Linked DNA regions of Coturnix japonica. The protein of the gene in region 2 purifies or fractionates together with the protein of the main gene of each other region. This does not show direct contact. Links are inferred from orthologs where the notes say so. Each region holds a gene or a part of one and is shown on either strand. Other genes may lie near its edges.

Region 1 (3,582 bases), on a different chromosome or scaffold from region 2:
CTCGTAGTGCAGGGCGTAGAGCATCACCAGCCGGGCAGCATCGAGCTCCGTCACCTTGGGGTTCTGCAGGAGGCGTCGCACATTCTGCAGCGAGATATGAAGTGGGATTAATGGAGAGGCCTTCAGAGCACATTAAATCAGACTCACATCAGACCCACTGCTTAGTAACAACATTACAAGCAGAAAGAACACAAGGGAATTAAACTGTGCCATAAGCAACAGACCTGAGCTTCTTAGGAGCTCTGTGCTTAGATTTATTGGTGTATAATGGACTGCAAGTTGTTTTCACAAAGCTGGGAATTCTCTGTAATTCTCTGCAGCTCTCCATAACGCGCCTCAGAGTGAGCCCAGCTCACAGTGCTTTCCTCCCAAACGGGGTATCTCAGATGCTTGCAGAAACCTTTAATCTCTGCCCTTTTCCAACCTGAATGCAGCAAAAGCTGGCCCACACGTTCCATCACAATATTAACCATCAAGGAGGAAGTGCCAGCAGAGCTACACTGTTTTCTTGTAGGTGTGAGGATGAAGCAGCAGAGTCTCAGACAATCTCTGGATGTTGGCAACCCCTGAGGGCACAACAATCTGCAATCCTACCTGTGCTTAAAGCAAAACATCAGCCTGTATTGGCTCAAGTGTAAGAGCACAGCAGAGCTTTAGTCGTACAGTGGTTGAAATGGCAGAGGGACAGAAGCAGCCAGGAGGATTTTTCCTATGCTGCAAGAGAACATGACCTTCAAGCACTCCAAACATCCCAGCACATCTTGGCAACATTCTCCCAGCCTCCCAGAACAGGGAGGCAGCACGGAAACATTCAGCGAACAGCTGTGAAACAATATTGTAACAGTTGTTATTGACCCAGCTGATTCAGCTATTTGCTATCTGTTTGTTGCTATCTGTTACACTGATGCAGACCAGTTACAGAAACATGGGGTAAAATCCTGGCTGGAGCTGCTCCCTGGGGTTAACCAAGAAACTCTTCAGGTCAGGAATTCACCTGTCAGGGTAAGGACAGAGTCCCACGTCCTGGATCCTGCGCTGGCAGCACAGTGGCAGTGCCGATATAAGCGGGAAGCTTGTAAAACAGAAAAGCTATTGTCCATCTAAGGAGATGGGATTCAAAACCTCCCATTCATCTCTCAAGGCTCATGTACAATGTCAGGATTAATAAGAGACCAGGAAAAGAATAACCAAAATGTACTGTACTCAGGGGGCCCTTGGCCACCAGAGAAATTAACAATTGCTGAAGTTACATCAGTGGGAGAACAATTCTGCCTTTATTTTGTGCACTGGTTATTCTTCATTGTGTCTGTGGCCTTGCCCCTTTGCTGCCATTAGGAGACTGCAGCAGGGAACAGCCTGGGGCATTACAACTAAGGGGATACTGATCTCTCATGCAGAAAGACACCGGTTCCATCTTTGCATTCTGCATTTACTTCCCAGCTGCTACACGGTTTTCAGTCACTCTCAGTTGATACAAACACAACGGAGCCCTTTAGGCGTGTGGTATCAACAACTGCAGGCAGCCTATGTGCCATAAAACCTGCAGAAACACCACTCAGTGCAGACTGAGACCTGAACCAGCATCGAGGTGAATCAAGAGAGCAAGAGAGCTTGTGTTCAGCAAATGCATTTTATGGTTATAATCCCTCTTCAACACTTAGCCATCAAAATTCTACCAAATACAAGCTATCAAATCACATCTATATGCTCACAGATCTATACAGCTGTGCTGACTTCAACAGGTCTATACTGATTTACATCAGCTCAGGATCTGGTAATAGACGACAGTGCTTGAGGAGCTGATGTTATCACTGAGCCACCCACTTAGGGAACAGAGTAACGGAGGTAAAGAAAACAGGGCTTTCTAATCTGTTGTAAATAAGTGTAAATAAGTCCATTATATGGTGTAACTTCTATCCCAACTGCAAAAAAGCTTTCAAACAGTGAGTCAGTGGCTGAACTCTGCTATAATACAGTCGCTCCCAACAATACTGCTATTTTCTCTGAATAGTCAGCAGCCACCATTCATCATTATTGACACACTGTCAGATATCAGGTCAGGTCATGGAATCCAACAAGCAAGAGTGGGGTCAAAACTTCAGTCTATACCCAGCTATAACAGAAGTCTCTTGTAGGCTTTTTCAGCCCTCTCTGCCAAAGAAACCTTTTATCTGAAAGGCTTTTCACTGTTCTGTATTGTTAAAAAAAGAAGTAAAAACCACAAGGAACGGTCTGCTTCAGTTATGGATTCCATTTCTTCTCCTTCCCAACAAATACGAGAAGCTTCTGCACAAGGGTCCAGGTTTTGTTTTACTGGTGCCTCTGCAGGCAGCTTGCCAGGTCTCAGCCGACCTCATATAATGAAGGAATGTTCTACTGTGAAATGTAAAGACAGAGTTTGCAAAGATGCTTCTCAAGCCAGTTATTAACTATGATTCATCCCCATCTGAACTGAACAGGTAGGAGAAAAGTAATCCTAACGTCTTATGTTCCTACCCTGTAGGACATCTGTGCACAGAACTGCCACTGACTTTCAGTATCAAACTCCATCAGCAGGAGACTCAGGAGCAAACCATCTAAATTCAAAGGACCGCAGGCAGGTTCAGGGTCCAACGTACCTGGAGGGCACTGGAATGGTCGTTGTGACAGGCCAGCTCCTGCTCCACCTCAGACACCTCCAGCAGGTTGCGCTCACCGACCAGTCGAGAGAGCTCTCCTACCACTGTCACGTGCTTTGACACCGTGCCCGACATCTTCTTGAACTGCGGGTAGTTCTCCACAAAAGCCTGCGAGGAGCAAACCAGAGTGACACGCTTCAGAATAAGAGCAACAGACAGCAAGATGGAGCTTATACAATTTCCCACTGGGTTGCACACATCCCCTAATGAACAGAGCAATGCAGGTATACCCATAATAAAAGATCACATAAAGTAACTCCAGAGATGTTGCCAGGATTCTTTAAATCTTTGGTGGTGACTAAATTAGCAGCCCCTGCTGTGGGCAGCTGCCAAGTGACCCAGCTCAGATAGGAAGTGCACACAACCACACTGGGTTAAGCCAAGGACCCGAACTGGAGCTTATCAATTCCACTGTGGGGATTCCAGATTCCAGCAGGCTCTAAACTGCAGCTCAGGAGCTGTCAGAGGGAGCAGGATGGCCCACCACAGGGTCTACCCTGCAACATACGGGCTTCAACAAGTCCTGCCTGTACCTTCATATCCGCTATGGATTCCAACTTCTGCTGCTCCTTAGGTTTCCTCTTCTGGAAATCCTCCATAAGGTTCTTGATGTTACTGCCAATCTCTGCAAAGTTCAGGTACATGTTCTGCATGGAACAAAGAGGGGATTTGAGAGAAAACCATTTGAACACAAGTCCTGACACAGCTAAAACCCAGAGACACTGAACCCAAACACTTAAGTACCACTGCAGAGCATCTCATCTGTCTGACACCCAAACTTGACCGGGCAGCTTTGCGATTGGTCCCATTTTATTTAAAACTACCAAAAAGCCGTTATTACACACCAGAAAACGTCTGTGTGACGCAGTGACTCTCACTCTACATAAACCTCCCCCACCTTAAC
Region 2 (3,951 bases):
TCAAGTTTGTACAGGCAGACGTGAATAGATTTCATTAAGTGTCTTCATAAATAATAGGTAGTATTACAAAAATGAACAGTTTTTTCAGAGAAACTAAAGACTGAGTTGATGTTTGTGACAGCAGTATCTAAGGTAGACAACTATTTTCTGTGAATACAAAAGTTAAAAATGGAATTTTTCAAGCTCACGTTCTCCATATATTTTTGTTTTAGGCAGCTCTTGAAACACACAGAAAACAAGAGGAGAAGCAGAAAGACTTGACATGCAGATCTGCAGGTGCAGTTAATGGTGATGCAACTCTCCTTAAAAAAGGAGCAGTCAGGAAATCTGAAGGCTGGCTGCCTACATCGAGCATATCTCGACAGAGTGAGGTGGCAGACCCACTTCTTCAGCAGATTGACAACATCACATCCTTCATTGAGCAAGCAAAGGCAGCTAATAGGCTGGATGAGGTCCGTATGTTGCAAGAAAACCTGAGGCAACTTCAGGATGAATATGATCAACAGCAAACTCTGAAAGCCATTGAGCTTTCTAAAAAACAGGCAGAAGAGGAAGAGAAGCAGAGGGAAGAACTTCAGTTCCTTTGTGAAAAAGAGTGGGAAAGAGAACACCACAAATCCATGTCTCAGCATTCAATGACAGGCTCCTTAGATTTCAGAGAAGGCAAGCAGCATCAGTATGAAGCTGCAAAAGAGAATCAGAACTTGTTAGCACATAGATTGGATTTAGATATTACTCAAGTGAAAGGGAACCGAAGTTCTGAAACTACTGCTGTTCAGCAGATTCCAGCCAAAGAGTACGTAATCGTCCCAGTTAGACACCAGAATACTCCACAGTGTGGCAAAGACCAAAATCAGGCAACCTGTCTAAACCCCTTTGAAGATGAAGCAGATACCCCTCTGTCAGAGGAAGATCCCACTAACCCATTTGCTGAAGATGTGTCTCAACCGGTTTCTTTCTCTAACACAGCTCTGCAAAGTGACAGAAAAGAATATAACCCATTTGAAAATGGGGAGGAAGGTGAACAGACCAGTGGAGCATCTGTCAGTACTTCAAATCCCTTTGAAGAGGATGAAAATCCATTTCAGAAGTCTGGGAACAATTGGAATTCTGGAAATCCATTTGAAGAAGGATCTTCTACCAATCCCTTTGAGGTGGAAGATGTAACTGAGATCTTAAGAGAGGAGGCTATAGACGAGGAACTGCTTCTCCAACAGATAGATAATATCAAAGCCTACATATTTGATGCCAAGCATAGCGGACGAATGGATGAGGTGGAACTACTGACGGAGAACTTAAAGGAACTGAAGTACACTTTAGCAAAACAAAAGGAGAAATCCAACTGTTGAAGCAGCAATCACACCTTGTAAGAGTTACCTCAAGTCCGCTGCTAAGAGATGGGAAGATGGAGCAGTTATAAACAGCAGTACAGATTACAAGAAGGAATTGGGAGAATGTTATATTTTATATGCTTTCATTTATATATTCCCAACACTACTCAGCCTTGAAGAAAGAAGAGGAACGCTGCTAGTCTTGAACACTTATACTAAAAAAACTTATCATAAGTTGTTACAACCATCTTAATGCTAATTCGTCTTACTGTGTGTTTAATTTGGTCAAAAGGCTTAAGCAGTAATAGGGAACTGTCACTTTGTTTTATGGTTGGTTTGTCATCTTTCCTCCTTGTTTGCACTGTGTTGTTACAGCAGCTGAGCTACTGGCTTTTCAAATGGAGCTTTGACCGAAAAGACAAAAGTGTTTCTAAAATTTCTGCATCTTCTGCTAATGGCACAGTGTCAGGTACAGGCCAGTCTGACTGTCCTAAGAGAGTTACAAGGAAGTGCTGTTGAAAGGCTGCTATGATTCTTTGAGATGCAGGATATACAGGCCATAGGTCAGTTTTGTGCAATAGTACATGAAATGGATTTAAAAACTAGTAGAGACTTCACTGATTTTAATATGAGTAGCATTTAAAGTGTGCTTATAACAATTTCTAACTGAGGTGCCACCTTGTTACTTTTAGTTTCCCAGTCCCTCTAGGCACAAATTGCAGTGTAATAGAGAGCCACGTTGGCTTCAAAGCTACGTGTGTAGGAATGAATATGTAGATGCTCATTTCCAGAACATCAGGCTAGTATTAAGGGTGACCTTGAAATTCCTGATTATATTCTGGAATGTGCACTTTCCTTTATACTCTCTGGGTTGAAGAATGATCATATTTGTTTACCTGAGACTTGAATCCTTATTGTAGCACTTTAAGAACAGAAATCCTGGAGAGCTGAAGTGCCACTGAACTGGAATTCTGTGAGAGCTGGGCTGTGATTGTGCCAAATGTAAGTTCCTATTTTATATTTGATTCTCATCAGAAGTTAAAAGAACCAGGCATGCGAGTCTTCAGTAAGCAGGTCCAGATGGGAGTCTTGGTTTGGGCCTCCACCCATGGCAGTGACTGGGTAAAGGCCATCTCCTGTGGTGCAGGAGGGCTTCTGGAGATTGGTACTATAAAAGTTAGGATTGTTCAGTGTTAAGTTAGTGTGTTTTGCTGCTTTCCCCACATTCCCTCCCTTTGAGAGGCAGAGGTCCATCTTCAGACATAAGTGTTTGAAACGGTGGTTGGGAGAAGTTAGTTAGAAAGGTGTATCTAATTAAAGCTGAAAAGGAGGATATTGGGCAGATCATACTCTCTTGCTCTAATAGTAGTGGGCTTACTGAGAAGTAGAGTTTTGTGGAGTGGGACATCTCTTAACTATGTATCCAATAACACATGAATAGCGTAGCTGTAACTGGGGCACTACTTAGTATTTCAGAAACACAAATTATCACGCTACCTAAGCAGCAGGAGCTGTAGATTTCTTTTAAATACACTGAAGGACTGTACTTCTGTTTAAGGCAAACAAAACCAACAGATGTACCCGCAGTAAGACTAATAACTGATCAGAATAACTCAGTACAGCAGCTTCAGGACAGCTGTACTTCTCACTGCAGTTTGAAGTTGAAAGGTGCACAGAATGGGTTTTCTCAAGGACTTCAGTTTTTTATACCAGTGCATGTTGTTAATGTTGGCTGTATCTCCAGGCGTTACTGTGAAGTGGGCCGAGCATCTGCAGCAGAGTTCTGAAAGGCCGTAAACTAAACATAGTTCTGTGCTGTGGCACCAGGTGTACAAAGGCAGCAGAAATGACTGAGATGAAATTTATCCCAAGAATTGCTCACTTCAAAGTGAATAGTCCAAGTCAGTTTTTCAAGGCAGACTATGGCTGCTCAAGAGGAGTGCTTCTTGCATTATAACCCAAAGCTCTTCGTGGTATTGAGATGAAAAGAATATTTCAGTGGCTTCAGCACTTGCATTTAAAAAGCTTGTTTTCCTTGTTGTAACCATCCTGCACTACTTGTACATTCAGCCTAATTAATAAAATCCTTCTGTACATGTGACTGTACTTGTACAAGTAGCATCACGATTGCTGACAGCATTAACTGCGGTACATCAGCCTCTGATACTGAAGTTCTCTCCAATGCGAAGACCATGTGCTGGTATTTGGGCTGCTGTGAGGCTCCCAAGGCACAACAAAATGAAGACAGCTATAGAACTAGTAAGTAACTAGCGCTGAGATGGTACAATTGCATGCAGTACTCTGTATAGAAATGTGGTAAACGAGAGATAAAATAACATCTATTTCGTGCTGTATTGGCCCTTGATAATTCAAGCATTCCTTAAAAATGGGTGTGAAATGTTGTATTCAACCATTAGCTCAGAAATGCTGATAATTATTTCTACAGCAATTTGCACATACGAGCCTGATTTAATGCAATTAAATAATTAAAAGCAGTGTAGTGCTATTGCGTATTTATATACTGTTACAGGTATAGGGTAAACCATTCAAAGCAGAAACTACTATGATCTAAAACTGTGGCAGGGGCCAGTAGCATCAGAAGTAGAAGATGTCCAGCAGT

What was found.
Region 1: the proteins of RBSN (region 2) and VPS45 purify together in Homo sapiens (affinity purification with mass spectrometry; 4 studies listed by BioGRID and IntAct, counting the BioPlex papers as one, with this or other methods). This does not show direct contact. The link is inferred for Coturnix japonica from reciprocal best matches to the Homo sapiens genes RBSN and VPS45.

Annotation. Positions count from the first base shown.
Region 1 is NC_029540.1:62,984-66,565, forward strand, and holds part of VPS45 (vacuolar protein sorting-associated protein 45), read right to left. Parts: intron 3,326-3,582; coding exon 3,212-3,325; intron 2,787-3,211; coding exon 2,619-2,786; intron 85-2,618; coding exon 1-84. UniProt on the Homo sapiens protein: May play a role in vesicle-mediated protein trafficking from the Golgi stack through the trans-Golgi network.
Region 2 is NC_029527.1:17,051,066-17,055,016, forward strand, and holds the end of RBSN (rabenosyn-5), read left to right. Parts: intron 1-212; coding exon 213-1,349; 3' UTR 1,350-3,437; downstream 3,438-3,951. UniProt on the Homo sapiens protein: Rab4/Rab5 effector protein acting in early endocytic membrane fusion and membrane trafficking of recycling endosomes. Required for endosome fusion either homotypically or with clathrin coated vesicles.